Linked DNA regions of Mus musculus: regions 2, 3, 4, 5 and 6 are each reported to be linked to region 1. The links are microRNA targets in miRTarBase. Many come from high-throughput screens and were not tested one by one. Region 1 holds a microRNA gene; each other region holds the end of a gene's coding sequence.
The links. The annotated mature microRNA mmu-let-7b-5p reads UGAGGUAGUAGGUUGUGUGGUU and lies in region 1 at 3,049-3,070, shown strand. An mRNA with a match to its seed (bases 2 to 7 or 8) in the 3' UTR can be bound and repressed. Matches are read on the target gene's strand: a 7mer-m8 pairs with bases 2 to 8, a 7mer-A1 pairs with bases 2 to 7 and ends in A, and an 8mer does both.

Region 2: miRTarBase lists Dnajc27 as a target of mmu-let-7b-5p. Seed matches in the 3' UTR shown: 7mer-A1 at 1,942-1,948.
Region 3: miRTarBase lists Cpeb4 as a target of mmu-let-7b-5p. Seed matches in the 3' UTR shown: 7mer-A1 at 1,414-1,420 and 7mer-A1 at 2,620-2,626.
Region 4: miRTarBase lists Slc25a23 as a target of mmu-let-7b-5p. Seed matches in the 3' UTR shown: 7mer-m8 at 3,091-3,097.
Region 5: miRTarBase lists Sec14l1 as a target of mmu-let-7b-5p. Seed matches in the 3' UTR shown: 7mer-A1 at 2,977-2,983.
Region 6: miRTarBase lists Gns as a target of mmu-let-7b-5p. Seed matches in the 3' UTR shown: 7mer-A1 at 2,103-2,109 and 7mer-m8 at 2,434-2,440.

The regions. Positions count from the first base shown.
Region 1 is chr15:85,704,277-85,709,450 of GRCm38, forward strand. Mirlet7b (microRNA let7b) reads left to right here and starts at 3,043; the gene lies at 3,043-3,127. It overlaps Lncppara (long noncoding RNA near Ppara), which reads left to right. Exons shown (of 2, transcript NR_110483.1): 1 at 1-14; 2 at 2,278-3,248. Mirlet7c-2 (microRNA let7c-2) reads left to right here and starts at 2,327; the gene lies at 2,327-2,421. It overlaps Gm34622 (a long non-coding RNA gene), which reads right to left. Exons shown (of 3, transcript XR_384306.3): 3 at 4,595-5,174.
Region 2 is chr12:4,106,495-4,111,668 of GRCm38, reverse strand. It overlaps Dnajc27 (DnaJ heat shock protein family (Hsp40) member C27), which reads right to left. Exons shown (of 7, transcript NM_153082.4): 7 at 1,057-4,867. The coding sequence ends at 4,735. Among named protein-coding and RNA genes, the nearest start is that of Adcy3, 25 kb to the left of the region's middle.
Region 3 is chr11:31,931,064-31,936,237 of GRCm38, forward strand. Cpeb4 (cytoplasmic polyadenylation element binding protein 4) reads left to right here. Exons shown (of 10, transcript NM_026252.4): 10 at 242-4,572. The coding sequence ends at 469. Among named protein-coding and RNA genes, the nearest start is that of 4930524B15Rik, 32 kb to the right of the region's middle.
Region 4 is chr17:57,040,675-57,045,848 of GRCm38, forward strand. Slc25a23 (solute carrier family 25 (mitochondrial carrier; phosphate carrier), member 23) reads right to left here. Exons shown (of 10, transcript NM_025877.4): 10 at 3,037-4,989. The coding sequence ends at 4,805. It overlaps Slc25a41 (solute carrier family 25, member 41), which reads right to left and starts at 980. Exons shown (of 7, transcript NM_175333.3): 1 at 900-980. The coding sequence starts at 917.
Region 5 is chr11:117,156,210-117,161,383 of GRCm38, forward strand. Sec14l1 (SEC14-like lipid binding 1) reads left to right here. Exons shown (of 16, transcript NM_001166506.2): 15 at 152-330; 16 at 592-3,059. The coding sequence ends at 697. Among named protein-coding and RNA genes, the nearest start is that of Sec14l1, 44 kb to the left of the region's middle.
Region 6 is chr10:121,394,061-121,399,234 of GRCm38, forward strand. Gns (glucosamine (N-acetyl)-6-sulfatase) reads left to right here. Exons shown (of 14, transcript NM_029364.4): 14 at 988-3,194. The coding sequence ends at 1,066. Among named protein-coding and RNA genes, the nearest start is that of Gns, 32 kb to the left of the region's middle.

The sequences.
Region 1 (5,174 bases):
ATGGCTTCCCTGTGGTAAGTAGGGCCCCAATGTCCTTCCTCTGGAAAGTAGGGAGACTTGAGAGTAAGGAAGGCTAGGGTCAGAGGCACATCCCTGCCAGTGCTCCAGGACCTGCCCTCAGCTTAGATGTCTTTACCTAGAGGCTTTGTGCTCCCCCCAACCCCTGCCCTCAGTATTGTGCCCCACCCCACCCCCCAGCAATCTACCCCAGATGACACATCTACCCATGATATGATATGGTGACTTTTGACCCCGTATCGGCCTACTTAGACTGGGCATGGCTTAACAGAGGTGCAGTTCCATTCATCACCAGCTCCAAGTGGAAGAGACGTAGCCTCCCAACCTGAGGACAAGGTCACCGAGCCCTGAGAGACCTCTGGGGACCTCAGCATGAGGTCCCTCTCTTTTCTCTGTACCCCGGGCACCATCACTTAATCCCCCCAGTGTGATCCTGCTTCCCCCAGGCCAGGCCACTTGGTATCAATGGAGGATCTGCCAGAAGGTCTTGCCTAGAGAAAGGCCAGATGAGGGAGACAGAGGCACATCTGTTCCCGTGTTGGGCTAAGGCACAGTGCGTGGTGGCCCACTGTCCTTGCTAGAACTAGGGTGCTTGTGTCCTGGTGTTTCTCTACCATAGCTTGGGCTCTGCAAGGCTTCTGTTGCAATGAAGCCCAGATTCAGGGAGGCTCACCAAGTGCAGAAAAGGCGCTTTGGGGCTGACACAGTGGCATACACCGGCCTCCTGCTGCTAAGTAGAGTGGCTGAGAATCCCCAGGGGCCAGCCAAAAGGACCCCACGGAAATGCATGATGGTGCCCAGAGTCAGAGGGGCCAGTCTCGACCTTCCAGCCAGACCTGCCCACGTACTTGTATCCTGACAGCCAAGGGCAGAACCCGAAGTGTTGAGAGACCTGGGGTTGATGTCTGACCTCTTTCCTCCTTCAAAGTGCTTCTGGGGGCGGAGAGGGGGAGGGAGGTGCTGGGCTCAGATGGAGATGACCAATGTGGTCTCTAGCTATTCCACCACATCCGGGCACAGCCTAAGAACCGACGAGATTAACCATGGCCAGTCAAGCCTACAGAGAGGCTAAGCAGTGTGGGACACCCCTCAGCCTTCTCACCTGGGCCACCCATCATAGATAGGATCACCAAAGGGGCCCTTCACCACTCTCTTCCCACGCCTCTTCTGCCTTGCTGCCTCTGCAGGGACCATCCTTGAGGGTATTTGACCTGCCTGTTAGTGAAAGGGTCCAGGCTTGAGGCAGGGGATGGCACCCCAGTGGCTCAGATTTCCTTCTGGGGCTTGGAAGATTAGTGTTTCCTATCATCACAGGCCTGCCCACCACGGGCCAGGCCACACCAGCGCTCTGGGAACCTTGTTCCTAAGCTCCTCTGCCCCATAGACTCCGGATCTGGGGCCACAATGTGGACTTAGACCTAACGGCTTCATTTTGACCCAGGAGTTTTGGACTTGTCCCTTGACCCTTGGCAGAGAGGAAAGGAGGCGTGACAGTAGACGCTAGGGCTCATGCAGAGAGCAAAAGCTGCCTGGCTTCCTAGGTCTGGGCACAGGGCTTCCCTCCACATGCTGGGCAAACCGGTCTGAGGCCTGAAAGAAGCAGGTCTTTTTCCCTTCTGAGAGCAGAGCTACCTGAGACCAGAGACTGAGCCTCAGTTTCTTCAGCGATCTCTGCTGGCCTCTGGAAGTGCTAGTCGTTAGGGACAGACTGGCCATGAGTGTCCAGCCAGGGTCTGCACTTGCGCCCGGCTGGCCACCATGGGGAGTTAGGCTGCCTCCCACAAGGAAAGACTGTTTTGAGCCTCCCCCAGCAAGGTCAGCTCAGGCCACCCTGAGAAGAGGGAGGGACAGAACCAGAGCCCACGAGGGGGGGGCTCTTCCTGCCTAAGGGGAAGAGGGTACATGCCCAAGGCTACTACTTAGCAGGAGTCCTGGTGATTCTACTACGCTAGAGTTGAGTGGACAGAGGCTGGGTCTCAGCCAGGTGGACACTGGAAGCACCCTGGACCTTGGTGGCCTTTAACAAATGACACCCTTCCCCCATTGTGGCCATTCCTGTGCTCAGTGCCCCGTGCTTTCTCTCTCTTCTCCCCGTTTCCCCGTCTCCCCGTCTCCCCTTACTCTCTCTGTGATTTTGTTTAAATGTCCCTGGCCCATTTTGAGAAAATCCCAGTCTATTAATACCCTCAGCACTGAGCGGCCTGTGTCGGGGGTGGGGGGTGGGGCTCACCATGTCCCCAGCTCTCCTTCTTCCTCTAGGAGGGACCTCAAGAAGCCACAACATCCAGCTCTACGCCAAGACTGACTGACGGCCTTTGGGGTGAGGTAGTAGGTTGTATGGTTTTGGGCTCTGCCCCGCTCTGCGGTAACTATACAATCTACTGTCTTTCCTGAAGTGGCCGCAATATCTGCAGTGGATACAACGGCGGCCCTGGCTGGGGAGACTGAGGGAGGGACAGGGGGGTGATAACTACCATGCAAAAAGAGCCTGACAGAGACCTTGGATAGTCCCTTGACCTCTCTGGGCTGTTACTCATCTGTATAAGGGTTGGGGCATAGCGATGAAAACAGACAGCATTTTCAGGGCACCTTCTCTCCCTGGCCCACACTGAAGGGGCCTTCCTGCCCCTGGCCCCATATCAGACCTGTGCTCACAGGTCTCCATGAAAAGAGGGTCTGGACTAGACCTTCAACTATGTTCCAGAGTTGCCCAGGCTTTCCAGCGCAGGGTCAGGCCTCTGACGAGCAAGCGTCTCTTCCGAGAAGAAATTGAAAAGGAGCCATTCTTAGCACACCCATGAGTACAGCCTGCAGATGGACCGTGTAGGCCACTGTCCCCTGTCCCTGGGGCAATGGGTTCAGACACCAGAGGCTTCCTCAATCTGTTTGGTAGGCACAGGCCTTTCTCACTGAACCTCTGTCTCCACTTCCCCCTCCCCCACCCCGCCCTGTGCCCTATGGCTCTAGTGGCCTGTGGCCAGGGTGGGTGGGGAGCGGCTGGGCCTCCTCCAGAACACGGACACCGCAGGGTGAGGTAGTAGGTTGTGTGGTTTCAGGGCAGTGATGTTGCCCCTCCGAAGATAACTATACAACCTACTGCCTTCCCTGAGGCGCCCAGGGACACAGCTACATGGAGGCCCCCGCTCAGCAAGCTAAATGGAGCCACAGATTGGGTGGGGGCTATGACGTGGGACCTGGGTATAAATAAAGGATGTTCTGTCATGAACTTACAACTGGTCTTTGGTCATTTTGGAAATACGGAGACTGGCCGTAGAGGACATGAGATCGCCAACCACACATTGACACGTTTGCATGCATGAAACATTGCCAGCAAGAGCTGCTCTGGGTAGTGAACAGTACCCTCCCCTCATCTTCCATGTGCCCCTTAGTGGCCCAAGCCCTGGACACCCAAGCCCCTCCACATGAGTGGAACAACAGACCCTATGACTCCAAGTCTCAGAGCACAGTACTGGCTTCCAGTGTCCCTCAGCCTGTGGTCCTAACCAGATCTGAGAAATTCCTGGCCTATTGTCCCTTCGTGCCTGCCTCCCTTGGGACAGTATTGGGACGGCTGTGGATGTAGCTTTCTAATCTTGGGCCAAATGGTCATATACCCTTCTTCCAGGGACCCCAAGCCTTCATTCAGGTGGTGGTAGTGGGGTGAGGGTCAGCCCTCAGCTAGTGTTAGCTTAGGAAGGTAAAGTCCTAGTCTTACCTGACCAGACACCAAAGGCCTCCCTCGTGGGTGGATACCTTGACCCTGATGTCCTGGCCTTCTCCCCATAATGAATCCCCCGAGTCCCAGCTCCCGTCCTGAACCCAATCTGCCTCAACTCTGCATATCCACACACCTCCATTGACGCACCTAGGCAGACCAAACACCCCTAGAGCCCCTCTATATCCACCCTCAGCTACCAGACCTCTCAAACTTAGCCAGCCATTTCCAAAGATCTGATACTGTGCTAGCCCCAGGGTTGAGAGTACCCAGAGGGACTCTCTGAGTACTCTCTGAGAGCAACAGGGATGGCTTCCCAAAGTAGGGGCTATCTGAGCTGGGTCTTGATGGCTGTATAGGAGTTGGCAGCTAGAGACACAGGAGTGGACACTCAGACACTCCGTGGCATGCCCCATTGTCTCCTCCCTGCTGTCCTTTGGAACATCGATGGTGGATGATAAATTGTCACCTTTTTACCTCTCTTTATCCTGTAGTCAGTGGTGAAGTCTGTTGACTCTTGCTATGCCTCCAGCCCTAGAGGAGTAGTCCTTCCTCCCCTCCCTTGTGCAGAGCTTTGCCCACTCTTCATCCCTTGCTGAATTAGTTAAGGTTTTACTGCTGTGAGCAGATGCCATGACCAAGGCAACTCCTATAAGGACAACATTTAATTGGGGCTGGCTTACAGGTTCAGAGGCTCAGTCCATTATCATCATGGCAGAAGAATACCATGACATAGGAAGAGCTGAGAGTTCTACATCTTGTTCCGAAGGCAAACAGGAGAAGACTGGCTTCCAGGGAGCTAGAGTGAGGGTCTTAAAACCCATATCCACAATGACATACTTCCCCTAACAAGGCCACACCTCCTAATAGTGCCACTCCCTGGACCAAGCATATACAAACCATCACACAGCCTACCTTCCATACTCTTCTGCACAGCCCAGCCCCCAACCCTTCACCCTCACACAGGCCCACCCTCTGGCTACCACAGCCAGCTGTGTCTGTGCAAGCAGAATGACATGCTGGCCAGTCACACCCACCTCCTGGCTCCTATGCTGCAGTGGGAGATGGCCTCTGCTCTGCAGAGTTCAAGTACTAGGGACACAGGACAGGACACACGGCGACCACCCAGTGGGGTAGCGTGGGAGCATCCGAGAGCTCTGAGGTGCTCTGCAGTCAGGGTAGCTTCCTGGAAGATGACCTCTGACATGTCCTGTGCCCCTCTCTACATTCTGTTGGCTCTTCTCTGACAACTGACTGTCACTAGAGATAGGGGTGCATGTGGGGATCAGGGTGGGTACGACACAGCATTCAGCAGAGTGGAAGTTCTGGGGTGCAGGGGAGTGGTTCAGCCCAGGGAGACCCTGTGCTCACTTCCCCACTTCCACAACCTACAAAGGAAGCAAAACACTTCCACTTAGAGGGTGGAGTCAGGATTCAAGGG
Region 2 (5,174 bases), not on the chromosome of region 1:
ACAGACATTCATCACTACACCTAGGTAAGGTAGACTACAGACATTCACCTCTACACCTAGGTAAGGTAGACTACAGACATTCACCACTACACCTAGGTAAGGTAGACTACAGACATTCACCACTACACCTAGGTAAGGTAGACTACAGACATTCACCACTACACCTAGGTAAGGTAGACTACAGACAGACATTCACCACTACACCTAGGTAAGGTAGACTACAGACAGACATTCACCACTACACCTAGGTAAGGTAGACTACAGATAGACATTCACCACTACACCTAGGTAAGGTAGACTACAGATAGACATTCACCACTACACCTAGGTAAGGTAGACTACAGACAGACATTCACCTCTACACCTAGGTAAGGTAGACTACAGACATTCACCACTACACCTAGGTAAGGTAGACTACAGACAGACATTCACCACTACACCTAGGTAAGGTAGACTACAGACAGACATTCACCACTACACCTAGGTAAGGTAGACTACAGACATTCATCACTACACCTAGGTAAGGTAGACTACAGACAGACATTCACCACTACACCTAGGTAAGGTAGACTACAGACATTCATCACTACACCTAGGTAAGGTAGACTACAGACATTCACCTCTACACCTAGGTAAGGTAGACTACAGACATTCACCACTACACCTAGGTAAGGTAGACTACAGACATTCACCACTACACCTAGGTAAGGTAGACTACAGACATTCACCACTACACCTAGGTAAGGTAGACTACAGACATTCACCACTACACCTAGGTAAGGTAGACTACAGACATTCACCACTACACCTAGGTAAGGTAGACTACAGACAGACATTCACCACTACACCTAGCTTGTGATTTTTAAGGCAGGGTCTCTTTGCGACCTACGTTGGCTTCAGACTCCTGATCTTCGTGCCTCAGCCTCCCAAGTGCTGGGCATATGGTGAGGTACATGTCTTGCGGAATGAAGATCACAGCAGATTAGGACCTGGATTTTTGTGTGGTCTAGTTTTACACCAAAGATCAGGTCTCAACAAATCAATGCAGCCAGCAGACCAGTGTTTGCTATTTGACTTTACTCTATAAAAATACACAACTTAAATACATATGACACTCTGTATACAAGACATAAACAACTGGTAGATTTAACACTTTCAGTTATTTCAACAGAAAGCAAATATGTAAATTACCTTGTACGAGCATTCACAGTGGAGGGAAAGAATGTGCAGGGAGCGGTCAGCACCAGTGCAGGGAGCTAACCCAAACTGTCCAACTCTTCAGTAACAGCCTTTCACCAAGGGCCTTCTCCAGACTGCCCAGCACCGCACTGTGTGTTAAGACACAGACCCACTGCCTGCCCATACCACAAGTAAACACATCCACCCTCCTCAGGGACAGTTAATGGAGCAATCAATGTCCAAGGGCACTAACCAGGTCTAAAACTGTGCTCAGCACCAGGATGAGAAGGAGCAATAGCTCTTTGCTTGCAAAGCCTGAAGTGGAAATTGCTTAGCTTGATTTTGCAACTAAATTCATCTTCAAAAGGTTTACAAAAACGCTGGGGACTTAGCTCCATGGGAGGCAGCATGAGAGAACCTACTGAGCTGACCTGGAAGGGATCACTGTCATTGCTAGAGGCGATATGCTGGCTCCTTGCTTCCTAGCTTCAAATGGCAATCCCTCTGTCTTTCTACCACTTGTCCCCGATTCAGTGCTGGCAGGAGCCCCTTGTCCTACTCTGACGAGCTTTCAGCCATTTAGATACCTGACCATCTAGCTGCCTGACCGAACTAAGACAGAAATAGGTACCTGACCATCTAGATACCTGACCATCTAGCTGCTCACCGAACTAAGACAGAAATAGGTACCATTTTGCAGGTATAAAGAAGTATTTATCACTTGAGATTTCAATCAGTGAGAAGATACTAGAATATGTTTCCTGAGGTAAATACAAGCCTTAAAGAATGGTGTACAGTGTGCAGAAGGACAGCAGCCTTACTCTCAGCATCTGGACTCGTGAGTTAAGATGCTGGCAAAGCCACAGACGACATTGACATGGAGAAGTAAAGCGGCAGTGCGTAGAGAGACACTGAGAGCGGAGTCCAGCAGCTCCCAGGATAGAGACACTGAGAGCAGAGCCCAGTAGCTCCCAGGATAGAGAGACACTGAGAGCAGAGCCCAGCAGCTCCCGGGATAGAGACACTGAGAGCAGAGCCCAGTAGCTCCGGGGTTAGAGAGACACTGAGAGTGGAGCCCAGCAGCTCCAGGGAGACACAGAGGAGAGCACACACCAGGGGAGGGGAGGACGCTCTAAAGTGCTGACGAAGGCTGGAAGACGAACTCAGAAATGCCTCCAGGGACTTCCAACAAGTGAAGAGGTGACACCAGTTGGTGACTCAGATGGAGAAGGACACAGCTTTTTAAGATAACAGTTGTTCAAATATTTTATCCCTTCTTTTTTTTGGGGGGGGGCAAGGTTCTTTATAAAAACGTTTCAGCCTCTGAAATGACTGAGTTGAGACTCCTGCTGACGTCCTAAGATCTTAAATGTGCAAGCAGTTTTCAAAATGTCGAAGGACAAAGCACACAGCTGCACTAAGAATTTCAATGAATGCAGAGGTCTGTACCGGATCACGAAGCCAGGGTTCAGAATACTTTTCGTTCTGAGCTATGCTCTGTTGTTTCCTAATGCTCTGCTGAGAGACTAAAGAAACCAGACACATTCTGGGACCCTGAGGCTTCACCTCTTCATTTTATTACTCTTACATAAATAAATAAATAAATAAGATGCTACGCAGCCACCCTAGATATAAGTAAGATGTCAGGAACAGCGTCTCAAGATCTGAGAATCAGCAAGTGACCTGAGGGACCCAAATGGGAACACTAAAGCCCCCTGCTGTAACTGCTCTCCTGCCCATGTGGTTGAACGAGGCGCAGCCTGGGCCCCGCACTCAGGCTGACAGCACCACACACACCTCTCATCCTCATGACTCCCACTTTCTGTTCCAGGAGCAGCTGGATAATCAGATGTGCTAGGCGTGAGGGAGCCTCAAGCAGAACTGAGGCCCATGAGAACCATGAGGTGGAGCTCAATCACCTCAGAAGCTAATTCAAGCCACGCAGCCGTATGCTAATACAGCCGTATGCCAGACCTCTTTATCCTTTTATACACATCTGAGTTCACTAAGAACAACATTTTAAAGCTCAGAGCAGCTGCGCAGAGCACAGCCATGCAAAGTGAGGCCACTATGGAGAAAGGAAAAACCCAGAGGACTACAAGGGTTTAGACAGGAAGCCAAGAGCTTGTCTTCTTAGGCAAGAGACATGTTATCTGGCAACCGTTATGGGATAGGTATTTAAAAGTCATCCTTTGAGTTCCAGGTAGCACAGGTGGCTGCAGCTCAAAATAAGAATACCAGAGTTCAGAGGGATGACAGGAGTCGAGCAACATGAGCCCAGCTCCATCAGCTCCATCCAGTCCTGTGGACCAGGCAGGGGCAACAGCACGAGAAAGGCTTCTCTCTATGCAACATGAGTTTTCATACTTGTAATTTTAAAATACTATTCAGAAATTTGGAGTCCAAGCAGAAACTGTAGGGATTCTGCCCCACACAGGCCCAAGACGTCCCAGTGTGCCCCAAATGGATCCTACTTATTTCAAGTCAGCTGAGCCCAGGGCAAGAGGAAAGGCCATGGCAGATGTGGGATGTAACAAAGAGTGGGGCGAGAGGAGAGCAGAAGAAAGAGACGGGTCTGTGGAAGAGGGCCCGCCTGCCTCTCCCACCACCTGTGGTGAGGACTGAGGACAGGGACGAGTCTCATGCAGGGTCCCTCCTAGTGCCCAACATGCCTGAGCTCAGGAAAGGCCCAAGCTGGCCTTTCCGTCTGAATGGTGTGACTGAGCGCACACTCCCAAGTGACCCACAATGCGCCCTCTAAGAGCTTCTGTTCTGGTGTCGGGCCCCTCATTCCCAGGGACACAGCATCCTTGCTGCTTGATGCTAGCAACTATTTCTAGGGCAGAGCAAAGGCCTGGGATCCGGGATGAGCTTCAGGTTCTCCAGCTCCTGTGGCTGGCACTGCCTCTCTCTTAGCACTGGCTTGTCTCCCCCTGGTGGCTGGAGAAAGAACAGAGTCAGTGTCCTAAAAGGGCAGATAACAGTGCTAGCTCACATCACTCTTCTACAAGGTTGCCTGTTTTTCTTTGAAAGTCTTGCCAAGTAATTCAATCCAGACTGGCCTCTCTCTTGCAATACTCCTGCCTCATCCTCCACCATCTCTGGCTACTAACTGTACAGGCTGATGGTTAAAATACTAACCAGGAAGCCGCTTAGTGGGGTGCAGGCTCCCGGGGGCCAGGCTCTTTCTCTCTCCTGTTGTTATTCCTTTCTCTGATGGTGGGCAGATGGATGGATGGAGGGTTGCTGGGAGGAAGAGCAGGTGGGTCACAGTCATGGACTTTCACAGGTGAATGCATAAGCGATGACACAATGACAAACACCTAGTTATCTGGCAATAAGAAATGAAGTGCATAAGAGATGTGGGGTTATCTCTCACACAAAAGCGGTCATCTCACTGAGAAATGGCCACAACATGGTAACAGGCACCCATACTATTAACTTACACATGAGGGAACACAACAGTGAGCATTCGTGAAGGAAAACTCCATGTTGGTTATTTCACCTCAAGGGGAGTCTGTTTGCACTTGAGCTCGCTTGTAGTTTCCTCTGCCTCTACTTGATGTTTTTCAGGAGGGCTGTCCGGGCATTCACAACTGCTTTGAAGGCATCTTCACTGCCTGGTGCTACACACTTGTCCGGGTGAAGCAGCACAGCCAGCTTCCGGTAGGCCTTATTAACTTCCTCCCTGCAAAGAGCAGACAAGCTCTGTCAGTGACCAGGTTGGCCCCAAATCCTGCATCTGGACACTACACATCTCCCATGGAATTACCTCCTTTTCTCAAAGGTAGGACTAAAAGAATAGAAAATAACAAACAATGGGTTGCATACAAGTAAAAAATACAGTGCAGGTTGAGTCTAGGAGACAGTCAAAGAAGGATCAAGGGCAGCCTGGCATCTCTACACATGTAAGAGGCACAGAGCAAGCAAGCCTTTGCTAACTGAAGGAATGAGAACCTGGGAGCCAGAAGTAATCCCTCAGGAGAGGCTTCTAG
Region 3 (5,174 bases), not on the chromosome of region 1:
ATTATGATAGTTTCTGATAAAATTCTTCTTTTGTTTCTTTCTTGTCTGAAACCTTATTTTAACATGATAATCAATATAGATATCTTATGAAAAGCTATTTAAAATGGACAATCTTCATTGCAATAAGTGCATCACTGCTCCTTCCTGTGGCACCTTGGCACAGGGAGGTGGAAGCACAATACAGAAGTGGACTTGCACATGATACCAAAATGCCAACTCCCTTTTTGTCTCTCCAATGCAGGTGGAGGTTAAGCCATATGTCTTGGATGACCAGCTGTGTGATGAATGTCAAGGGGCCCGTTGTGGGGGGAAATTTGCTCCATTTTTCTGTGCTAATGTTACCTGTCTGCAGTATTACTGTGAATATTGCTGGGCTGCTATTCACTCTCGTGCTGGCAGAGAATTCCACAAGCCCCTGGTGAAGGAAGGTGGTGACCGCCCTCGGCATATTTCATTCCGCTGGAACTGAAGAATGAATGACTCCAGAGCTCATTTGCAGGCCTCAGAAGAAGTGCCCTCTTTTGTTAATTCCAACTCTTCCTCAGCCTCTTCACACTGGCATGTCCTGCACAGCAGTGTGTAACTATCAGTGGTAGAATGAAAAGAACAACCTACAACATAGGTATTTTGTAGACTCTCGTGTCACTGCAAACAGTATGTTCAACTCCATTTCACATTGCCATTATGTTGCATGCAGGTTTTAATTCTCTTGTTTTGCTGGAGGCCAAGAGGATCTAAACTTGCTGTAGCATTTTCTTAGAGGAGAGAAATATTAACAGAGAAATGAGACAATATTTTGAGGTTTTAATTGCTGGTAATGATATAACATATAAGAAAACTTTATTGAGATAATCACCAACAGTAACACTATCATCTGTTCTGACACAGTCTCCCCCAGGAAAGTGCTCTTGCCAGTTCTTTTCTTTCATTCCTTCTCTCTCTCTTTTCTATCCCTTTTTATTCTTTAACAGCAATGGAGGAAGTTAACAGTTATTAACAGGAAAGAGTATGTCAGAGCAAGCAAATGCATGAGCAAGATTGAGCAGTGTAACCATAAGAGCTTTGAGGCTGATGATAGCTTGATCATGCCTCAAATGCCTTCATACAACAGAAAAAATAAAGTAGGCAGAGCTGAGTTTGTTTTCTTTGAAATAATTCTTAAAATTCCGAATGTAAGAATTGGGTGACTTTACTACTGAGGGGAGTGCGCGTATTTATTTAACTGACTTCCTAATCACGGCCCCAGGAAACCTACCAAAGCTAGAATTAATGATTTCTGGTGGGGAACAGAAGAACAAATACATAAATTTTATTTTTGTTATTATATATAAACTCTATATCCTAATTTACTAACAGTCATCAGGTGTCAGCCTTTGCTCTCCATTTTGACATTAAAAACAACGTATCTAGACATACCTCAAGGATATCATTTTTGACTTTGTGTTACACTACACTTGTAGCCAAAACTGGAAGATTAAAAACAACATACAGATCGGCTGCCCATTGGCCTTGTTTTCCATTTGAAGTTACTTTGGAATCCTGTAATTTAGTTGTAACATAGAAAATGTGGGGGGGAAAGGTTAAAAAAAAAAGTCAAGTAGTTGCAAAGTGTTTTGCACTGTTGAACTAAGTAATTGTGTAAATCTGTGCAAAAGTCCGTATGGTTATCTTACTCTTCCTATAAGGTACAATAACATACACTTTCCGAACTTAGCATGGGACATAGTGTTTGAAGTGCCAACTTCATCAAGTAATGCATGCTTTATTATAAATACAACCCTAGCTTTGAAAGATGTTCTTATGTTTTGAACAGTCTGCTTCGGGGGTAAATTTAAAATAGTCTCTTGAAGCCCCGGTCATGGAAGTAACTTTTGGTTTAATTGACATTCTCTTATTAAATGCCCTACCGTAGTTCAAAGGATTACTATCAGTGTGCAAAGCATTTAACAGCAGCAGTCTAAGTGCAGTCTTGCTAGCTGTGCTGCCTAACAGTACCATCTTGGATCCTTCAGAACCAAAGACTTGCCTGCAGTGCTGTCACCGCCTGGCTGGTGACCCTTCTGCTGTCTGTAGGAAAAGCAGCCCTTTATTTTTAACACAGGCTTTAATGAACTACACCTGTTAAGTTCCAAAGGTCAAAATGGAGGCACTTGCTGTCTAAGAGTCCAACAGAAAGAGGGAGCCACTGTCAAAGAATCCCCTGCTAACAGAACAGCGGAGCAGCTGTGTGGTGGAGGGTGCTGTCTCTCGTGTAGCTGGTCAGGGACGTTTTTTGTTTTTTTCTTTTCTCCTGAACTACATGATTCTAATTGGAATGTTCATTTGCCTCTTTTTCTTCCTTTAATGCTTGTAGGTGGCTTGGGGTGTGCTATTGTGCTGGTCCTACTCAGTAAACAGGTGTGATGAGTTAACAAGAACTAACACTGCTTGAGAACTAGCTTTGAGTAATACTTTTCCCTTTGTACACGGCCTGCTGAATTCCGGTACAGTGTCTGTAGCTGACTTATTTTGTCATGCACATGATGTACATTTGTTATGCACTACTTTTGTATACCTTGTTTTTCCAACAGTGAACATTTTTAGGCACACTTTTCACTGACGGGATATCTCTTTATGCAATACCTCAATTTTTCATATTGCAAAGAGTAGCTTTTTGTACTTTTATTACTGAGAGATCTTCATATACTTCATTTTTTAATATAAATAATTTTAATAAATTTTATTTTCTTATATTCTGCTTTTTATACATTTCAGTGCTCTGCATACATTTTAAATTATGAATGTTGTGCACTGGCAATGCTATTTTAGAGTCTGCAGAGAAGAGAAAGCATGTTGCTTAAACATCCTTCCCCAGCACCAGCTACTGGTGTACCTATAATTTAAGAAATAGTCTATGTAAAGTCACAAATTAATGAAAAAAATTCGCATGAAAATGACAAAATAACACTGTAGTTCCTAAAAAAAATTAAATGCATAACCATAGGGTAGAAATTTAAAATAACAAAATTGTCTACAGCTTCTTACTAAGTTTTTTAAATTATTCATAAAATGCAGACATTTTGGGTGAATGTTTAATCATTTTTAATCTTAATTAATTGATGTTACATGTTTGATTCAGAGATGTCTGCTCTTTTAAATTCTATATAATAAAACAAAATCGCCTGCCACAGGACAGGTTTGTAATGTTAGTATGCATGACTAATGTAAGAAATTGTTATTCTGCTAATATTTACTTGTGATTGTGTGACAAGCGTGTTTACAGATGATTTGGTTCCACTTCTTTACAGGGCATAAACAATGATTATCTATTACTCTGAACTTTATGATTACATGTCCTTCAGATTACATGGGATTGTAGCTGGGAGTTACCATGTAACTCAAACATTATTAACATGTAATTAGTTTACAGGTTTTAGGGTATCACTTCAATTTACCAAGCATGTAGTTCTAGCGCACTAGCATGGCACCAGCCATGTATTTACAATGTAGTTACAGAGTAATTACATGGTTATTTTTGCAATGTAAAATAAAGTGTTTCTGATTATTTTCTATGTAAAGGACCCCCCACCCTACCCGTGCCCCCTGGCTTTGGTATAATATATTTACTTCTCCATACACAGACCTCTGCAGAATGCAACATAAAACTTGCAGTGAATGAACTTAGCATTTTATGAGAGTGCTGTTGGAAAGACTTGATAATTCACCCCTTTTTGTTTTGAAGAGTTGAATCTTCTGTTAAAAGGTGATTTAAAACTTGAATGTGATGAATTGTGGCAAGCTCACTCCAGTTATGTGCAATACTTATCTCACACTTTGGAAGATCTTTGCAGTGTAATTCTTTGTTTTTAATTGCAGACATTAAAAAATGTCATTTTCTACTGTTAAGAGTAATCCTCTTTCTTGCTGGTGTTTCTAAAGAAAAGAATCAGAAATCAATCTTTCTACTAATGTAAATTTGAGATTATTTTTAAAAATGGAATAAAAGAGGTTTTGGTCATTTGCTTTATTTTATTATCTTATTTTAAAGCTACTGTGATTGATAGCATTGTAAGAATTGGGACAATATTGTATTCAACTGTTTTATTTTTTATATTTTTAAAATTTAAAGTATAATTAGTTTTTATAATTTCATCAGATTTTTGTTATATTTTTTTGGAAGTGAAACTTTTAGCAAGTGGGTGTCTAGTTTTTACTAATCCCTAATTTTTCCAGTGTATTGCTCATATTATCAGAAGGGAACGTTATTTAAGTGCGTCAGTTAATTGTACTACTTGGCTGAATTTCCATATAGTTTTTACTGTGTATGGGGAGGTTGTAGTATTTATTCTAGCATTTTAAATAAGGGTAATTCATTTTTTATTAAAGTCATTTTCACGTTAAGTTCCTATTTTTGTATGTTCTACTCTTAAGTTATATAACACAGTTTCTTTTTTAAAAGAGTTCATTTGTTGAAGTGCTAGTGGAAAATTAATGTTATTAAATAGTTTGCAAATGACTATTTATACCAGTATGCATATAATTTTTAAATATTTGTAATGTGAGATGTTGAATGAATAAAACTTTTAACTCAGATTTCTTTTACTATACTTATTTCATTTTAGCATAAGTAGACTCCCTTTTGGGAATATGACATTTTTAGAACACTAAGAATGTCATGTTGGGCCCTGGCCGAACAAACCAGTATGAAAAAGTCTTTAATCATGTGAGTGCTCATGGCAGGCATTCCTGGCTTCGGGAAGTTGTAAGAGCTGTCAGCTGTAGTGTCTTTGGCCTGGCTGTTAGTTCATGTGCTGCTGTGTGGTGTCTGGGGGTGGGGTGTATCAGCCTGCAGTCTAAGTGTTCTTTCTTCCTCCTGGAGATTGACCCCTGCACCCCCATGTGATAAGCACATGCTCTACCACTGAATCATCTCCAATTTCAAAACGTTGAACTCTCGGGACTTTGAGAGACTGGGGTTCTAATCCCATAGCTCAGGAACTGCAGGTGTTCTCTTTTATTTGGCCCATGTCTCATGTAGACTACTGAGTATTGTGATGTGTTAATACTTATGTTTTAAGATACATTTAAGTTTTCAATGATAAGTTAACAACAAAGTACACCCGTGAATACCCTGTTTGGGAAGTAACGTATCTGCACTTCCCTCCCATGATAGACTATTCTCAAGAATAGGACGG
Region 4 (5,174 bases), not on the chromosome of region 1:
TCATCCTGGACCACTCTCTACCTTATATGTGGGGGCAGAGTTCCTCACTTGAGCCCAGAGGCTCAGCAGTTGATCTGGTCTAGCCAGCCAGCTTGCTCCCCCATCTCTGTCTCACTTCTGTGCTGTTGGGGTTACAGATGGCTGTCAGGCTTGCCCAGCATTTACACAGGTTCTAGGGTTCTGAAGTCCAGCCTTATGCTTTGGAGTGTCAGGCACTTCGTCTCCTTAGCCAGCCCCAGCCTCCTTCTCTTCTTCCCCTTTCCCCTTTTAAGACAGGGTCTCAAGTAGCCCATACTGGTCTCTAACTCACTAAAACAGTCAAGAATGACCTTGACCTTTCTTGATGTCCTGCCTGCAGCTTCCTGAGTGCTGGGATAACAGGTGTGAACTACCACGTGGTCTCACACATGGTCTCAGTGTAGGTTGTTCTACTCTGTCTGGAGGGAGGTGCTCCGTACCATATGGGCCTCAAAGCTTTTTCCCTTTGGTCCAGCCTGTGCCATCTCACTCCCCAGACTTACCTGCTATGATGAAGGATGCTCAGGGTTGTTCTCACCCACATGTCCAAACATACTCATACATGTGTGTGCACCTTGGGTTCCATGCTTCAGATGGTGGTAGGGTAGGCTGGAGAGGGGTGGGGGTAGGGCAGGGTGGAGCTTTCCTAAATAAGGCCTTGACCCTTCTTTTTTTTTTTTTTTTTTTTCCCGAGACAGGGTTTCTCTGTGTAGCCCTGGCTGTCCTGGAACTCATTCTGTAGACCAGGCTGACCTTGAACTCAGAAATCCGCCTGCCTCTGCCTCCTGAGTGCTGGGATTAAAGGCGTGCACCACCACGCCCGGCTGAGCCTTGACCCTCTTAAGCAAGGTTTGAACCTTCAAACGAGGATGCTGAGTTACCTCGAGATGGACTCCCATAGTTGCTGAAGGATTAAGGTCCCAGTCTCAGCGTCCTCTGGGGCGTCTATCTGGCTCCCAGCTGGAAGTGGCTGGTTATCCAGCCTTGCGGTTTAGGGGGAAGGGGAAGATGAGGTCACAAAAGTGCTTGTGAGCTCACAAGCATGATGGTAGGCAGCGTGGCTGACCCTGCCTTCCCACAGTGTCCACATCCTAGTTCCCATGGCTCAGGAAGAGCCAGTGTGGTCCTCCGAATGGTACCTAACCAATAGTTATTTATTCATTTGCTTTGTTTTGAAACAGGGTGGCATGTAGCCTAGACTGGTCTCAAACTCACCAAGTAGGTAAGGATGAATTTGAATTCCTGGTCCTCCTGACTCCGGCTCCCAAGGCAGGAAGCAGAATGGAGTTAGTGCTGAACAGAGACAGAACTTTGGTGTAGACAGATGGAGAGTTCCGGAGATGAGTGGTGGGGATAGCTGCAGAGCCTAGCAGATGAGCTCCACGCTGCCACATCTGCATACAATAAAAATGCTTTTAAAAATTCTTTCTTTTTTTTTTTTTAAGGTAGGGATCAGTGGGACCGGGTCTCATGTAGCCCAGGATGACGTTGAGAAAGACTCTGAAGTTCTTTTTTTTTTTTTTTTTTTTTTTTTTTTTTTTAAATGCTTCCTTTTCTTAAAGATTTATTTATTTATTTATTTATTTATTTATTTATTTATTTATTTATTTATTTATTATATGTAAGTACACTGTAGCTGTCTTCAGACACTCCCAGAAGAGGGCATCAGATTTTGTTATGGATGGTTGTGAGCCACCATGTGGTTGCTGGGAGTTGAACTCAGGACCTTCAGAAGAGCAGTCAGCGCTCTTAACCACTGAGCCATCTCACCAGCTCCGACTCTGAAGTTCTGATCCTCCTGCCTTTACCAGTTCATGCGCTGTACCACTTCACCCAGATTTAAGGCCCCCGGACCCCCCACCCCCACCCCATGTGTGTGTGTTTTAATTGGGGCTGGAGAGATGGTTCAGTTGTTGAGTGCATATTGCTTGCAGAGGACCTGGGCTCAGTTCCCAGGACCCATGCTGGGTGGCTTGCAACCACTGTAACTCCAGATCAGAGGTATCTAGTAGTCTCATGAACATACCACACAGAGACAAGAAACATAAATGTGTGTGTGTGTGTGTGTGTGTGTGTGTACATATGCACTGTGGTGCATGTGTGGAGGTCTGAAGACAGTTTTGTGGAGTCTGCTCCATCCTTCCATTTCCATGTAGATGCCTGGGATCTGATTGAAGTGGTCAGGCTTGGGTATGCACACAGGCACCGTGTGAGTGCAGTGTCCTCTGAGGCCAGGAAGGGAACCTTGGAGCAGGCCCTACAGATGGTTGTGAGCTGCCATGCGATTGTTGAGACTGCAACGCGGGCCTCTGCAGGAGCAGTACGGGCTCTTAGCCAGCTCTCCAGCTCTCCAGCCCCCTTTCTCTTTATAAATGGAGTGGAAACCGAGGCTCCAATCTCTTAGAGAAGAGGAAAGAGGAGGAGATAGGGTAGAGGGAGCAATGGAGGGTCAGAAGAAGGGAGGAAGCAAAGGAGGAGGGGACAGAAGGAAAACAAGAAAGCAGGGGGGAAAGGAGGGAGGGAGGATGGGGTAGGCATGGAGATAGAGAAAGGCAGGGAGGGAGGGAGGGAGGGGAAGGGTGATACAAGGTGAGTGAGGGTGGAGGTATGGAGAAGAGATAAAGGACGTGTGTGTATGTGTGTGTGTGTGTGTGTGTGTGTGTGTGTGAGAGAGAGGGGGGGAGGGAGAGAGAGGGAGGGAGGGGAGGGGGGGAGGGGGAGGGAGAGAGACCCATGTCTCTCTCTTCTCCTCCGGTAGTACCTCAGTGTTGTCACACACACACACACACACACACACACACACACACACACACACACACACACGTACACCTGTTCGTACTTTTTAAAAAGTAACAAAACTACCATGAAGGTCAGTGAGGCAAAGGCACTCCACACCAAGCCTGAGTCTGATCCGCAGGACCCACACAGGGAAAGAGAGGACAGATCCCCACAAGCTTCCCTGCCATATGCCCCTCCCTCAAACAAGCGAATGTAATTTAAACAATTAAAAATCAACAGTAATAGCTTAGAAAATTTATTCTTTTTTTCCTTGAAATGACACACATGGGCAGGGAGGTAGGACTTGGTGTAGGTTGGAGGGAGAGGTGGAAACCATGCCCCCCCAACATCCCAGTTTTCCTCTCAGTCCCTTGATGAGGTCCCCCTAAAGACTGAGAGGTGGAGCGGGGTACCCCAGGTCTAAGCTCAGAATCCAATCTTGAAGTGTGGAGGGTATGGGAATGTGGTGGGAGCCAGGGGACTTTGTTCTCTGGTAGAAAAATAGACTCCGAGTCAGCTTGGGGATACTTAATTTGCATACTGGATGCTGGGTTTCATGAAGGATGTTGTGTGTTGGTCCTTGATTGCAACTTTCTGAGGCCTGAGCAGGACTGGCAGTGTGAGAGGCAGGTGGTCCCCTTGGTGGTGTCCCTGACTTCCCCTGGTAGCTCCCAACCCATGAACAAGCAGATTCAGCCCTCCCAGAGGGACCTGGGATCTGGGAGTTACTAGCCTGGAAGGAAGGCAGGGGAATGTGGAAGACATTGCAGAGAGAGGGGGACGGGGAACAAAGTGATTTGGGGGTGGGGGTGGGAAGGGAGGTGTGTCCTAGCTGAGGTGCAATGCAGCATTCATATGTCCCATTCCTTACTGCCTGGTAGGGAGCCACTGGTCTGGCGTCTTGAGCTTCTAGAAGACTCTTTGGATGGCATGCTTCCATGCATTGGGAATCAGCTCCAGGGTGTGTCTGGGATATGAGATGCTGTCACTGGGCTATTGGGATCTAGACTTGGGGAGTGACATTTGGGGTATAGGAGCAAAGACCTTGGAGTATGAAGGTGTTTGGAAGTTTGGCCTTCTATGAATGTGGTCCAGAGAAGGGGTTGAAGGAATCTGGGATCTGGAATTTAGCAGCTGGGGCATGTGGGATCCACATGAGGGACCCTGGAGCTCTCGCACCCATGCTTCCAGGAGACAGAATCCAGTGGATTGGGACTTGGGGTCCAGTGGTGAGAGATTGAGGGTGGTGCTTGGAATGTAGACCTAGCAGTAAAAATGGGGGAATATGGAACCTCAAACAGAGGAAAATGCATTGGTTGGGTTAAGGGACCTGTAATCCAGGGATCCAGGGACCCAGTGGCAGAGCCCAGGATCTTGGCTTTGCTGTGTCAGGACCCTGTGGCTGAGAGTTCTTGGCTCCTAGAATCCAGGGGCTGGGCTGTGAGGCAGGTTACAGGGAACTCAGCAGCAAGTTTAGGGATCTCTGGTCCAGTGTGGCATTAGGGCACTGGGTCTGGTGCCTGAGGGCTCTGAGAGCTGGGCTATGGGGTACATGGATGAGTGTTCCCATGCTTGGGGCATTGGGGTCACCTGCTGCTGCATAGTGAGGTCTAGCAACCAGTGGGGCAGGGAAAAGCAGGGTCCAGCTTTGGGGTGTAGATGACAGGGTCAAGGTGCTTGGGAAGAAGGGTTTGGGGCCAGGGTATGGATAGTTTTACATATCAAGTGTCAGGCTGCTGATATGTGGGGTCCAGTGGTTGGGGCTTCGAGGTCTGGTTGTGAAGTTGGGGATCAAGTCCTGGGATCCTGTGGCTCAAGTGTGGGGTGCAGTGGTACCATGGTCAGGACACAGGGCTAGGATCGGGGATTTGGGTACTGGGGTCCAGTGCCTTGGGGTGTGGGGTTAGGATCCACTGGTCAGGCCATCAGTCTCTGTGGTTGAAGATATCAGCGTAGGGGATACCATGATGAAGATGAGGGAGTTTTAGGGGGACAGGCTCCCTGTCCCTCACCTGGATGTGACCCCCAGAGCCTGCTTCATGTTCTCGTAGACCACGTAGGAGATGCTCACGGCTGGAATGACCTTCATGAAGTTGGGGGCAATGCCCCGGTAGAGGCCCCATACACCCTCCTGGGACAGGATGTGTCGAAGTAGACCCACCATGGAGACCTGCGGGCCACCCTCAATGGAGGCTGGAGGTGGTTGGAAGCCTGGTAAGACCAAAGCTTCCCCATCTCATTTCTCCCTCCTACCTCATCCTAGGGCTGAGCTAGGCGGCCATTTAAACAGAAGGCAGAAGGGTAAGACAGAGGAACAGTGGGACCTACCACAAGACTCAGGGTGTCTGTGGGCTTAGGAACTGTCAATCTTAGGGACT
Region 5 (5,174 bases), not on the chromosome of region 1:
GTAGACAAGGTGCATGCTGCCTTCCTAACACCTGACAGACCATCGCATAGGCTGCCTCAGTGGGTGGAAGGGCATCCATCATTAGGCTGTTGGCTCAGGACACCCCTCCCCTTGGTGGAATGTCCTGAGTTGCTGCTGTTCACTGTTGCAGGGGTCCCATGTGACCAGGTGGCCAGGCTTCTACATCCTACAGTGGAAATTCCACACCATGCCAGCATGTGCTGCCACCAACCTACCCCGAGTGGACGACGTGCTGGCCTCCCTGCAGGTCTCCTCCCACAAGTGCAAAGTCATGTACTACACAGAAGTGATCGGCTCTGAAGATTTCAGGTTTGTGCCTGAGAGGGAGGCTCTGGCAGCAGGGACTACTTGTTCACTGCCTGCAGCTCTCCATAGGAAAGGGAGTGTAGCACTTGCTAAGTGCAGTGTCACCCGAGGGGCAAACTACGGATTCCTCCATTGATTCTCATGTCCTGTCCCAACTTTACAAGGGCCGACGGAGGGGGGGGGGGGGGGAGCAGATAGAGATGCTCGCTTGGGGCGGCTCAGAGCAGCTCCTCACTCCTGGTTCTTTGTTGATTACATCTGCAGAGGCTCCATGACCAGCCTGGAATCTAGCCACAGCGGGTTCTCACAGCTCAGTGCCGCCACCACCTCCTCCAGCCAGTCGCAATCCAGCTCCATGATTTCCAGGTAGTGCCGCGAAGCCTGCGCCTGCGCGGAGGGCGGGCGCCCCGGCTGCTGTGCTCCGCCCACCCCAGGATGTGCAGACTCCGCCCACCCCTGGATGTGCAGACTCCTCCCTCTAGATAGCAGCTAGATCTGCAGATGGTCACTAGTCACCTGGTCCCCAGACCATCCTGAGAGGTAGTTTTAACTCTACCCCTAACTTTAACTCAATAGCCATAGATTTTGTATACAGCGTGCACAAAATCAAACCAGAGCACAAGGGCTCTCGAAAGAAAAGTAGTTTATCTACAGTAAGAGACTGACTGGTCTCAGTTGTCGATGCAAAAAATGTTACCAACAAACTCCACCTTGTCCACTAGTGAATGACTTGTGTGACACCCTGCAGAGACTCGCCACCTCCTCCTCCACGGAACCGAAGCTGCAGCAGGCAGCCCTTAAGCTGCAGCGGAGTCCTCTCGGCTCCCTGTTAGTGGAGGTGGCCTGTGGATCCAGAACAGCTCTTGAGGTCCCTTTCCGCTAAGGACTTGGCAGCCTGAGGAGCACCCAGTGCTGGGTCAGAGCCAGCCTGATCCCGAGCAGACACTGCAGCCCAGGAGGGGCTGCCAGGGCTCCTCGTGAATCCTGACAACACCGCCATCATTAAACATTGCTTTCTCTTTCCTCCTCTTCAAATCTTTTGATATTTTTCAGAGCAAAATTTTTCTGTCCGTGAACTTGGTGGAGGGGATGGGGAGGATTCTTTCCCTCTGCTGAGTGCTGCCTTTCCTTCTGCAGGAGGCGGCTCTGTGCCCGTAGCACCCAGGGTCCTCAGTCCTCTCAGAACCCAGGGTCCTCAGTCCTCCCAAAACCCAGGGTTCTCAGCCCTTAGCACCCAGGGTACTCAGTCCTCCCAAAACCCAGGGTTCTCAGCCCTTAGCACCCAGGGTACTCAGTCCTCCCAGCAGCACCCAGAGTCCTCAGTCTTCCTAGCACCCAGGATCCTCAGTCCTAGCACCCAGGGTCCTCAGCTCTCAGCAGGGTGTTTGGAAGCAGTAGGTCACACTTGCCTTTAGAAGTGTGGCAGTGCAAACTCTAGCAATGCTCTCCAGGGGGGTGCATGGCTTGCAGTGGCCTTCGGCATGTGGGTGGATGCTGGGTATGTGTGTAGGTGTTGTGTGTGTGCATGAGGGAGTGGGGTGTAGCTGGGGAGGGGCTGCAGATCTGCACTTGTTCTTCTGCGTTTCATAGAAGCAGGTCAGAGGCTGGGGCTAGTTTGCCTTTTTTCTTCTTTCTTTTTTTTCCCCTGATCTTGACTCCCCAGAGCCTGCTGTTGGAGCAGATCCTTGCTTTACGGCTTTTATGGGGAAAGCATGCTTCTTAGCGAACTGTCTAGAAGTTGCAGGTGGCTGATCTCCAGAGGAGGGGGGCCCAGGATCTACTTGTGTGTGTGTGGTAACAGTGTCTAAAGATGTGTGCCAAATCCGAGTGGCCATGAGAGTGTATGGCGGGAGTGGATGCCTGTGTAGACGCTGCTCTGAGGCTCTGGGTGGCTGGCTGTGCGGTGAGAGCTATGGAGAGGCTGTGGCATGTCAGCAAGCATGAGGAGAGCCGACACAGCAGCCTGGCTTGGCCGATGAGCCCCCTGGCTCCTGGCACCCTGAGCCGTGCTTGAGCCTCTGTTTGGTGGCCTTTCTGGCCCACTGCCATGCCTTTCCTGTCTGTGGGAGCGCTTGTACACAGCACAGCAGGGCTGTAGCTACCGCGTCCATGCTGCTTCCAGTCAGGGCTTCCCAGCTCCGAGTGAAAGGACCTGAAGATGCCCCTGCTCTTTCTCTCTTCTCTCTCCCTTCCCCTCTCCCTTTCTCCATGTCCCAGATGGCGATTTTGCTGACATCCTCCAAGAAAGCGCTTCACTCGACAGCCCACATGTGCCCAGAGATGTTTGTAGACCTATCTGAGTCGCAGCCATGTCCCAGGCTGAAGAGCTGTTCCCCTTAAGTCCATGCCGAAGAGGCACTGTTGAACCCCCCAGAGCTGAGAGCATCTTTAAGAGCTCAAAGCACACAACTGCACACTCACAGGCCCTCAGCTTCCCCGAGCCACAGGGCACTGGCTGCCCTGTAAGGGGAGGCTGGCTACGAGGTGACCGTGTGGCTCGCACACGGGGCTGCTCCTCCCAGTGCCCAGCACCTCCTAAAATGCTGCTCCCTCCACTCTGGGCTCTCCCTGTTTCTAGTGTCTTAACCCATTCTCCTTCCTGAATCCATTCTTTGCATATCAGATTCTGTAAATGTTTTGTAAACATATTACCTCACTCTTGGTAATACAATACTGATAGTCTTTAAAAGATTTTTTTATTGTTACAATAATAAATGTGAACTGTTTAAGAAGAGTGTCCTTTTCTTCTTGGGAGGCCCCAAGGAAGAATAGAGATTGAGAGGAGAAGCTGCCCGTGCCTAAAGGCAAGGGGAGGCCAAGCGGCTGAGTGGATGGCCAGCAGTCACCCTGTGCCTCTCGAAGGCCTGCTGTGCAGATCAGCACATCAGACATGTGCTGCAGAGTGAGTTCTAGGATAGCCTGGGCTACATGCCAAAACCCCGCCTCACAGCCTGGCTCTCGGTATCATTGTATTACTTAATAGTAAAATAGATTTCTCCAAGCAGGTGACTCTGGAATTCAAGACAGTAAGCAGGTGTGGACCTGGGGAGGCTAGAGTGACCTCATCTTGGCTCTCTTGTTTCTGGGGTCTGCAAGGCAACAGAGCCCGGGACAGCCGGGCACAGGTCTGGGAGGAGGAAGGTCATCACGGTCTTGCCGGGGTGCAAGGTCAGAACCTCCTCAAAGGGAAGGGCAGGCACATCTGGGGGTCTGATCATGTAGAAAGCAAGAGACTCCCAAGCATGCCTCGTTGTCTGGCATGTGAACTCTGCAGGGCTTTTGCCCCAAGCAGTAAGGCTGGGATATGGCCGGACACCCCATCTGGCGCATCCTGCTGAACTTGCCACCCGAGGAAAGACTTAAGGTTGGTCAAAACAAGCCTGTCTTGGCTCCAAGGTCACATTTTGTTGGAAATGAGAGACAGCCTAAGAACACGCAAGGCTTAATTGCATCTAACCCAAAGTTCTGTCTGAACTATTCAGATATGACCACCCTGGAGTGGCATGCCCTAACTAGTCCAGATTGCTAACGTGCGTTCACCGTGAATGACACCATGTTTTCGTTGACAGGGTTTTGGCATGTAGCCCAGGCTATCCTAGAACTCACTCCTCAGGCTGGGCTGGCTTGAAACTCAATATCCTGCCTCTGCCTCCCAAGTGCTGGTATTACAGGTGTATGCCACCATTACCACCAGCCCTATGTTTTCTTTGATGCCAGATCCCTGGAGAATTCTGACCAAACCTAAACCTTGGGGCACCTGCAGCTCTCAAGTACCAGGAGAGTTATTCTCATCAACATCACGAAGCAAACCAACTGGGCTCAGTTCTGCTTGCAAAGGGAGGGCTTTGGCAGGGTGGCTCAGCGGGTAGGGTGCTCACCGCCAAGCCTAAGGACCAGTGTTCCACCGTGGGGACCTCAGGCTCTCCTCGGTCCTCCATGCGCATGCATGGCATATACACAGGCACATGCAAATAAATGAAAATTTAAAAACTGGAAACCAAAGACTTGGAGAGTTAGGCATTCTGGGAAGACAGCAATGGCGTCCCCACATAAATGCAGCAAGGGTTGAGCCTACGACAGTTGGAGTGTTGAGTCCTATGCCCCAAAACACTAAAGTGATGGTTTGCTGTATTTTCTTCCCCACAGTAATAGCTCCTGTGCCCATCACTCTACCATAAAACTAGGCAGTAAGTTATCTTAGAATGTCCAAAACAACCATCTCTTGGACAGACCAGTGGTCACAAAACCCGTGTGGACTCCGAGGAGAAAGCAGAGGTGGTCTGGAAGATGCTGCAGCCCGGGGTCTTGCTGGTTAGATCTGGGGCAGGGCAGACTGGCCGACCTGACCTGCTGCACACCGAGAAGCCACGGGTGTGGGTGGCCGCAGGGCAGCTCTGGGAACAGATTGTCTTACCTCTGTACCACCGAAACAAGACGAAGGACGCTCATGCAGTAACATCCGCCAAGCCGTGACCCAACACTAAAAACTGAATGTTAGGTCTGGGCTGTGGGTGGGTCCAAAGAAGGCTGGCCTAGGCTGCTGGAAGCCCTGGGTTCCCTCCACAGCACCGCAGAAAACAGGCCCAGCAGTGGAGAAGCAAGAGGGTGTGAGGGTTCAAGGTCATTCTTGGCTACATTGTGAGTTAAGAGGCAGCATGAGACCCTGATTCAAAAGTCACACACACACATCACGCCTTTAATCCCAATACTCGGGAGGCAGAGGCAGGCGGATTTCTGAGTTCGAGGCCAGCCTGGTCTACAAAGTGAGTTCCAGGACAGCCAGGGCTACACAGAGAAACCCTGTCTCGAAAAAACAAAAACAAAAAACAACAACAAAAAAATCACAC
Region 6 (5,174 bases), not on the chromosome of region 1:
GTCAACCCTGATGAGATGCTGGTTATGTGTGCTATCGCTAGCCCAAGTACGTAAACACCAACTGAGTTTGTTTCTAATTTATCATCCCAGGATATTCTTTTCTGCCAAACATTTGGCCTTCCAGGATCCTCTGCAGTAGGGTCATCGGACTGGATCCTATAGGCACAAGCTCTTAACGCAGCCACACATGTGTGTTGTACAGTGTCTGTGGCTGGATGGTCCACAGTCCTGACCATAGCATCTGACCCTTTACAAAAGTGTTGCTGCAGAGATCGGCCCACAGGCAGAAGGAGTGTAAATTCATTGCCAGGTTTCTGCTCGGCTCATGGAAAGCCCATTTCTGGCCAGTCTGGATTCTTTATAGCCACAAACTCTCAGCTGTTCCCATGGAGCACTTACAGAGAGGGTTCCATACATTCTACATGAATGCCTCTCTGTTTGATGGCCAGAGACAACTTGGAGTTGTTTAAATTCATGAGCCTGGCTCAAGCACACATCTAAGACCCGTGTTTGTGTGTGCGCCAAAGTGCCAGCGGCTAGAAAAGAAGAAGCGATCTCAGAGCTTGAGTGGAGGTTAAGTGAGGGTCAGCTCTTCCATCTGGATGCTTTATACCTGAGACTCGCTCACCTCCCGTAGCCTGCCTGCCTGCCTTTATTCCCAGCACTCAGAAGCCTGAGGCAGCAGGTTGGGGAGTCTGAGGCCAGCCTGGTGCGTAGCAGTTTCCAGGCCAGCCAAGGCTGTGTAGTAATGTTTTGTTGCTGCTGTTTTCTGAAGGAATCTCCCTCCTGCTTCTTGCAGTTAACCGTGTTGCTCTCCTCAGGTCACAGCTTGCATGGAAAATGCTCTCGGCTACTGAAACCACATTTATGTGACAGCTCCCTGCTTGGTGTGTCAGTCCCTCCCGGCAGCTCTCTGCTGCAGGATATGCCTTTGAAGTCACATGGCTAGCGAGCATTCACGTGACGTCCTCCCTTTGCTTCCCTCAGGTACAGGTTTGACCTGCGTCTCATGTTCAACAGTCACGGCAGCGTCAGAACGAGAAGGTTCTCGAAGCATCCGCTCTAGCAGCCTCTGCGTTGGATCCTTGCACAGCCTTTTCCGGTGCCGTGGTTGGAGTGGGAGCCCACGCCTCGGGAGCTCTGGCCTTGCTCTTTCAAGTCTTGTTTGAAAAATAATCCAGTCAGCTGACTTCCAGTACTGTGAATCCGCCCCTGTCAGAAGTGGCTGACCCTGTTTCTCCTCAGATGACAACCACCACTCCTGAGGTCTTTGTCCTCTCCTTGTCCCTTCATCTTGGCTGGGCACAGTATATGAGTCCCCACGTGGTCGAGTCTGGATCTGTAAAACTCTTCTGATAATGGCAATACTTTAGGGCAGAGATAAAACCTTTTGGTATTTTAGCTAGCCCCCAAATCAAAAGCACTGTATAGCATTTCACACCGAGCCCCTCACCAAAACTCACACAGTTGCGAGAAGAGCTGCTGTCTGTGGACACGTAGAGAAAGGACATTCATGACATCCCTGTGGTGTGGTTAATGTGCGACGTGTCGCCCAAGCTCTGCCCTAAGAAGCTTCTTAGTGACTCCAGCCACCTGAGAGCGCCCAGGAGCACCAGGGGGGGCCAGATGCGCTTCCTGAGCTCTTGGATCAGTGCGCTGAAGGGCCGCACTTACAAGTGCCTGTCTGGAGGGTTCTCAAGTGTCAGCGCCACACAAGTCATCCTGCCTGGCTGCAGTTAGCTGTCATTGTCATTGAAAATCTTAGTGTCTCCTGGTGGAGGGGAAGGACCGGCTGCCTCACCCCACTCCCTGATCTCACAAAAGTGCGAGTTTCCAGTCCTGACTAACTAGGGCTCCAGTCAGTATTCCCCTGGCCGGCTTCCCAGATGCCCTGGACGGCACTCTGTTCCTTAAAGTCCAGTTCCACCCTGACGTCCACAGAGGCAGCACGGAGTGGCGAAACTCGGTTCCAGCCTGTCGTCGGCAGTGAGCGGGTTTAGCTTTACACAGCCTCTGCCCAGCTTTAACTTGTAAGACAGCTATGAGTCACTTTGAGAATTCCAGAGGCCATGTTGGGGGGACAGCCATTGAGTTTATTCCTTTACCTCATGTGACCCCAGCAACTTTGGTGATACTGAGAGGCCAGCAGGCAGTAGAGTGGACACCTCGGCCGTGGCCACTTTAGAGGGGGAAAAGTTTAAGTTTTAAACTAAAAGTTACAGAATTGAATGTGGATACCGGCTTCATTCACCCCCACTTGGATTCTAAACATGACCAGTGAAATAGTGAAAGCTGACCACAGTTGTTCCCAAATAAAGGTCGGCAGCTCCTACCAGGTCTGGGATTGAGATGTTAGAGTCTTCAGTTTTATAGCCGGCTCCTGAAAGCAGGCGACATCAGAGTGGTAACAGTCAGTAGGCTGCAGTAGGTGTCCTACCTCGAGGCCCTCAGATGGAGGTAACACATTAGGATTGTGGGACACAAGATCCTCTCTGAACCTCCTGGTTAAGGAACGTTCCTGCAAACATTCAAGTAGACCTTCTATAACAGACTGCAGCGTGCATGGCCTCTACCCACAAGAGATGCACTGCAGGAGGCCGGCCCTGTTCTCTGTACTCAGCATTTTGACATCTCCTTTGAAGGCCAGGTATATGTGTACCAGTGCTCTTCAAAGGGAGAACCATTAAAACCAACATGGAATGCAGGGACTTCGCCTTATAAGATTTCCAGTTTTAAAACTGCCCCTCAGATACAATTTCAAAGTAGGGTACACATTAGAGTGTCTTTGAGTTCAACAAGTTGGTACTGTTGCAAACACCTTCTGAATTGCCAGCGCCCGGGTTTTTATGTAAAAATAGAGTGGCTATGGAAGTTACACCTTCATCTGTGGGAAGTATTCTCAAACGTAGGGGTATCTTTATCTTATGTTTTCTAATGGAAGATGGCAGCCCAGAATCCTCAAGACAAAGCAAGGGGTATCAGCTGATGGCCGCGGGACTGATGGGTGTCCTGGGTTCTTTAGCTCACCAGCACTTTGCGCTCAATGGACTTTGTAAATTCTCATCAGCTGTTGTAGAAGTTCCTCTGCCTGGAGCTGTCATCTCAGCCGCTCCCTTAGAAAGTGCCCTTCAACGGACCCTGTTCACTGCTGCACTTCTCAATGAATTAAAACTGACTTCTGTTCTAGTGGCAATGTGTCCTTTGTTTTTAGTCCACAGGTGTTGATTCTCACAATGTATAAGAAGGTGGCTGCTTCGTGGAGTTCTGTAGTTTTGTGGTGCTAGGGTCCAAATTCAGGGCTGACATAAAAGGATCAGGTCAGCACTGTCCCCCGGAGATAGACCTTCCGGCTGCAAGGTTAGCCAATAACCTAGTGAAAATGGACCGTCTCCTCCTCGTGTGCGCCCTCCGCCTAGAAAGCTCTTAGATACCAGTCCCTGCAAGTCATCTGAGACCTGGGAAGATGGCTCAGTAACTAAGAACACCTGTTCTTGCAAAGGACACCCCCCCCCCCCCCCCCGCTCCCAATGCAGCTCCCAGCCCCTACATGGTAGCTAGCAGCCATCTGTAACTCCAGCTCAGAAGATCAGGTGCCTCTTCTGACCCCCACAGCCTCCTGCACACACACATAAATATTCATAAACTTTTTAAAAAAGAAACCCGCTGATAAGTGACTTACAGCTTCTTTGAGCGACTTGTAAGAAGACAGACTAACTCACCCTTGCCAGTATTACTGTGGTCGCCCCTTTCCCTAGAAGGAAAATTACATTTTGCAGGAGTCATCAAACTTTGTTAAAGGGTTAAATATCCAATCCTAGGCATACAGGTTACGTACATAGTCTCTGTCACAGCTACATTGCTGGTAGAACATAAAAATAGCCCAGGAGCTGGGGCTACAGCTCAGAAGTGCTTGTGTTATATGCAAAAGGCCCTGGGTTCCACCCCCTTCATCACGTAAACTTAGTGTGGTGAGGGTTCTTCAGCTCCAGAGAGAGTCCAAATCCTGGTGCGTAACTGTGCGGCTCTGTTCCAATGTAGGAAAACAAATTGGCCACAAATTGCCGGCCACCGACATCAATGGTTGCTTCATAGACCAAGGAGATGTTAGGCATTGAAAAATTAACATTACTGTCTGGAAAAGCTGATTTGGGGGCTGGAGAGATGGTTCAGAGGTTAAGAGCCCATACTGCTCTTGGAGAGAGGACTCCAGGTTGGGTTCCCAGCACCTACACCAGATGGCTCACAACCACCTGTAACTCCAGCCTCGGGAGAGCCAACCTCGTCTTCTGGTCTCCACAGGTACAGTGCCCACAAACCAAGTCACACAAATAGACACTTAGTTAGAAATAAGAATCTTTAAGAATTAATGTGTGTTTACCACAAGGCTGAGATCACTTCTGGATCCGAGCTTTGGCTAGAAAGTAGCACAACCCCTGTCAGTCCCCCCTCATCCCGCTGTCCCTCCCCCAACCCCTGTTCCCACCCCGAGGGGACCACATATGGTGGGTTTGTTACAAGTGAGGAGCACTCGGTAGGAGCAACCTGTATTGTAGCAAGCCTGCTCTTCGCTCCAGAGGAAGACTGACCTCCTCATCCATAGAAATTGCTCATCTGCCAACAGTCCTAAGAAATGACTCTCATAAACTAGTCGGGGCCTTGTGATTGGGGAGGCCAGAGTTGGTGCTTACCCAACACCTCTCAGCTGGCTAAGCAGCTGGTCGCCTGGTTGGTCGGATGCATTCCTTGCCCTACCCAATGGAGTCTAGAAGCCAGAGCAGCCATCCACAACTGCTGTGATGTGGTCAGAAGAGCTGTTTTGTAACCCGGCGTTTGAGGTGAAGGGTGTGTATAGTAGGTCATGAAGATGAGCACAATGCTTTTATATGTTCTAATCACCTAGGGGTATATGTGTGTGTGCAGGTGTGTGTGTGTGCCTCGAGCGCGTGCGCTTATTTGCCTGCACACATGCACATGTGGGCCAACTGTGCCTGCATGTCCAGGTGAGAGGACAGTTCCTGGAAGCTAGAGCATACGTAATATCAGCTTGGGTCAGACTTGAGGGGATGCCTAGTCCTAAACAGAAAGCAAATCGTCCTTTAGGAACCAGGAAATTAAGTTCTATCTCCCCAGCAGCCAACAGCAGTCAACACAGACTACCAGAGAAGAAAGACTTG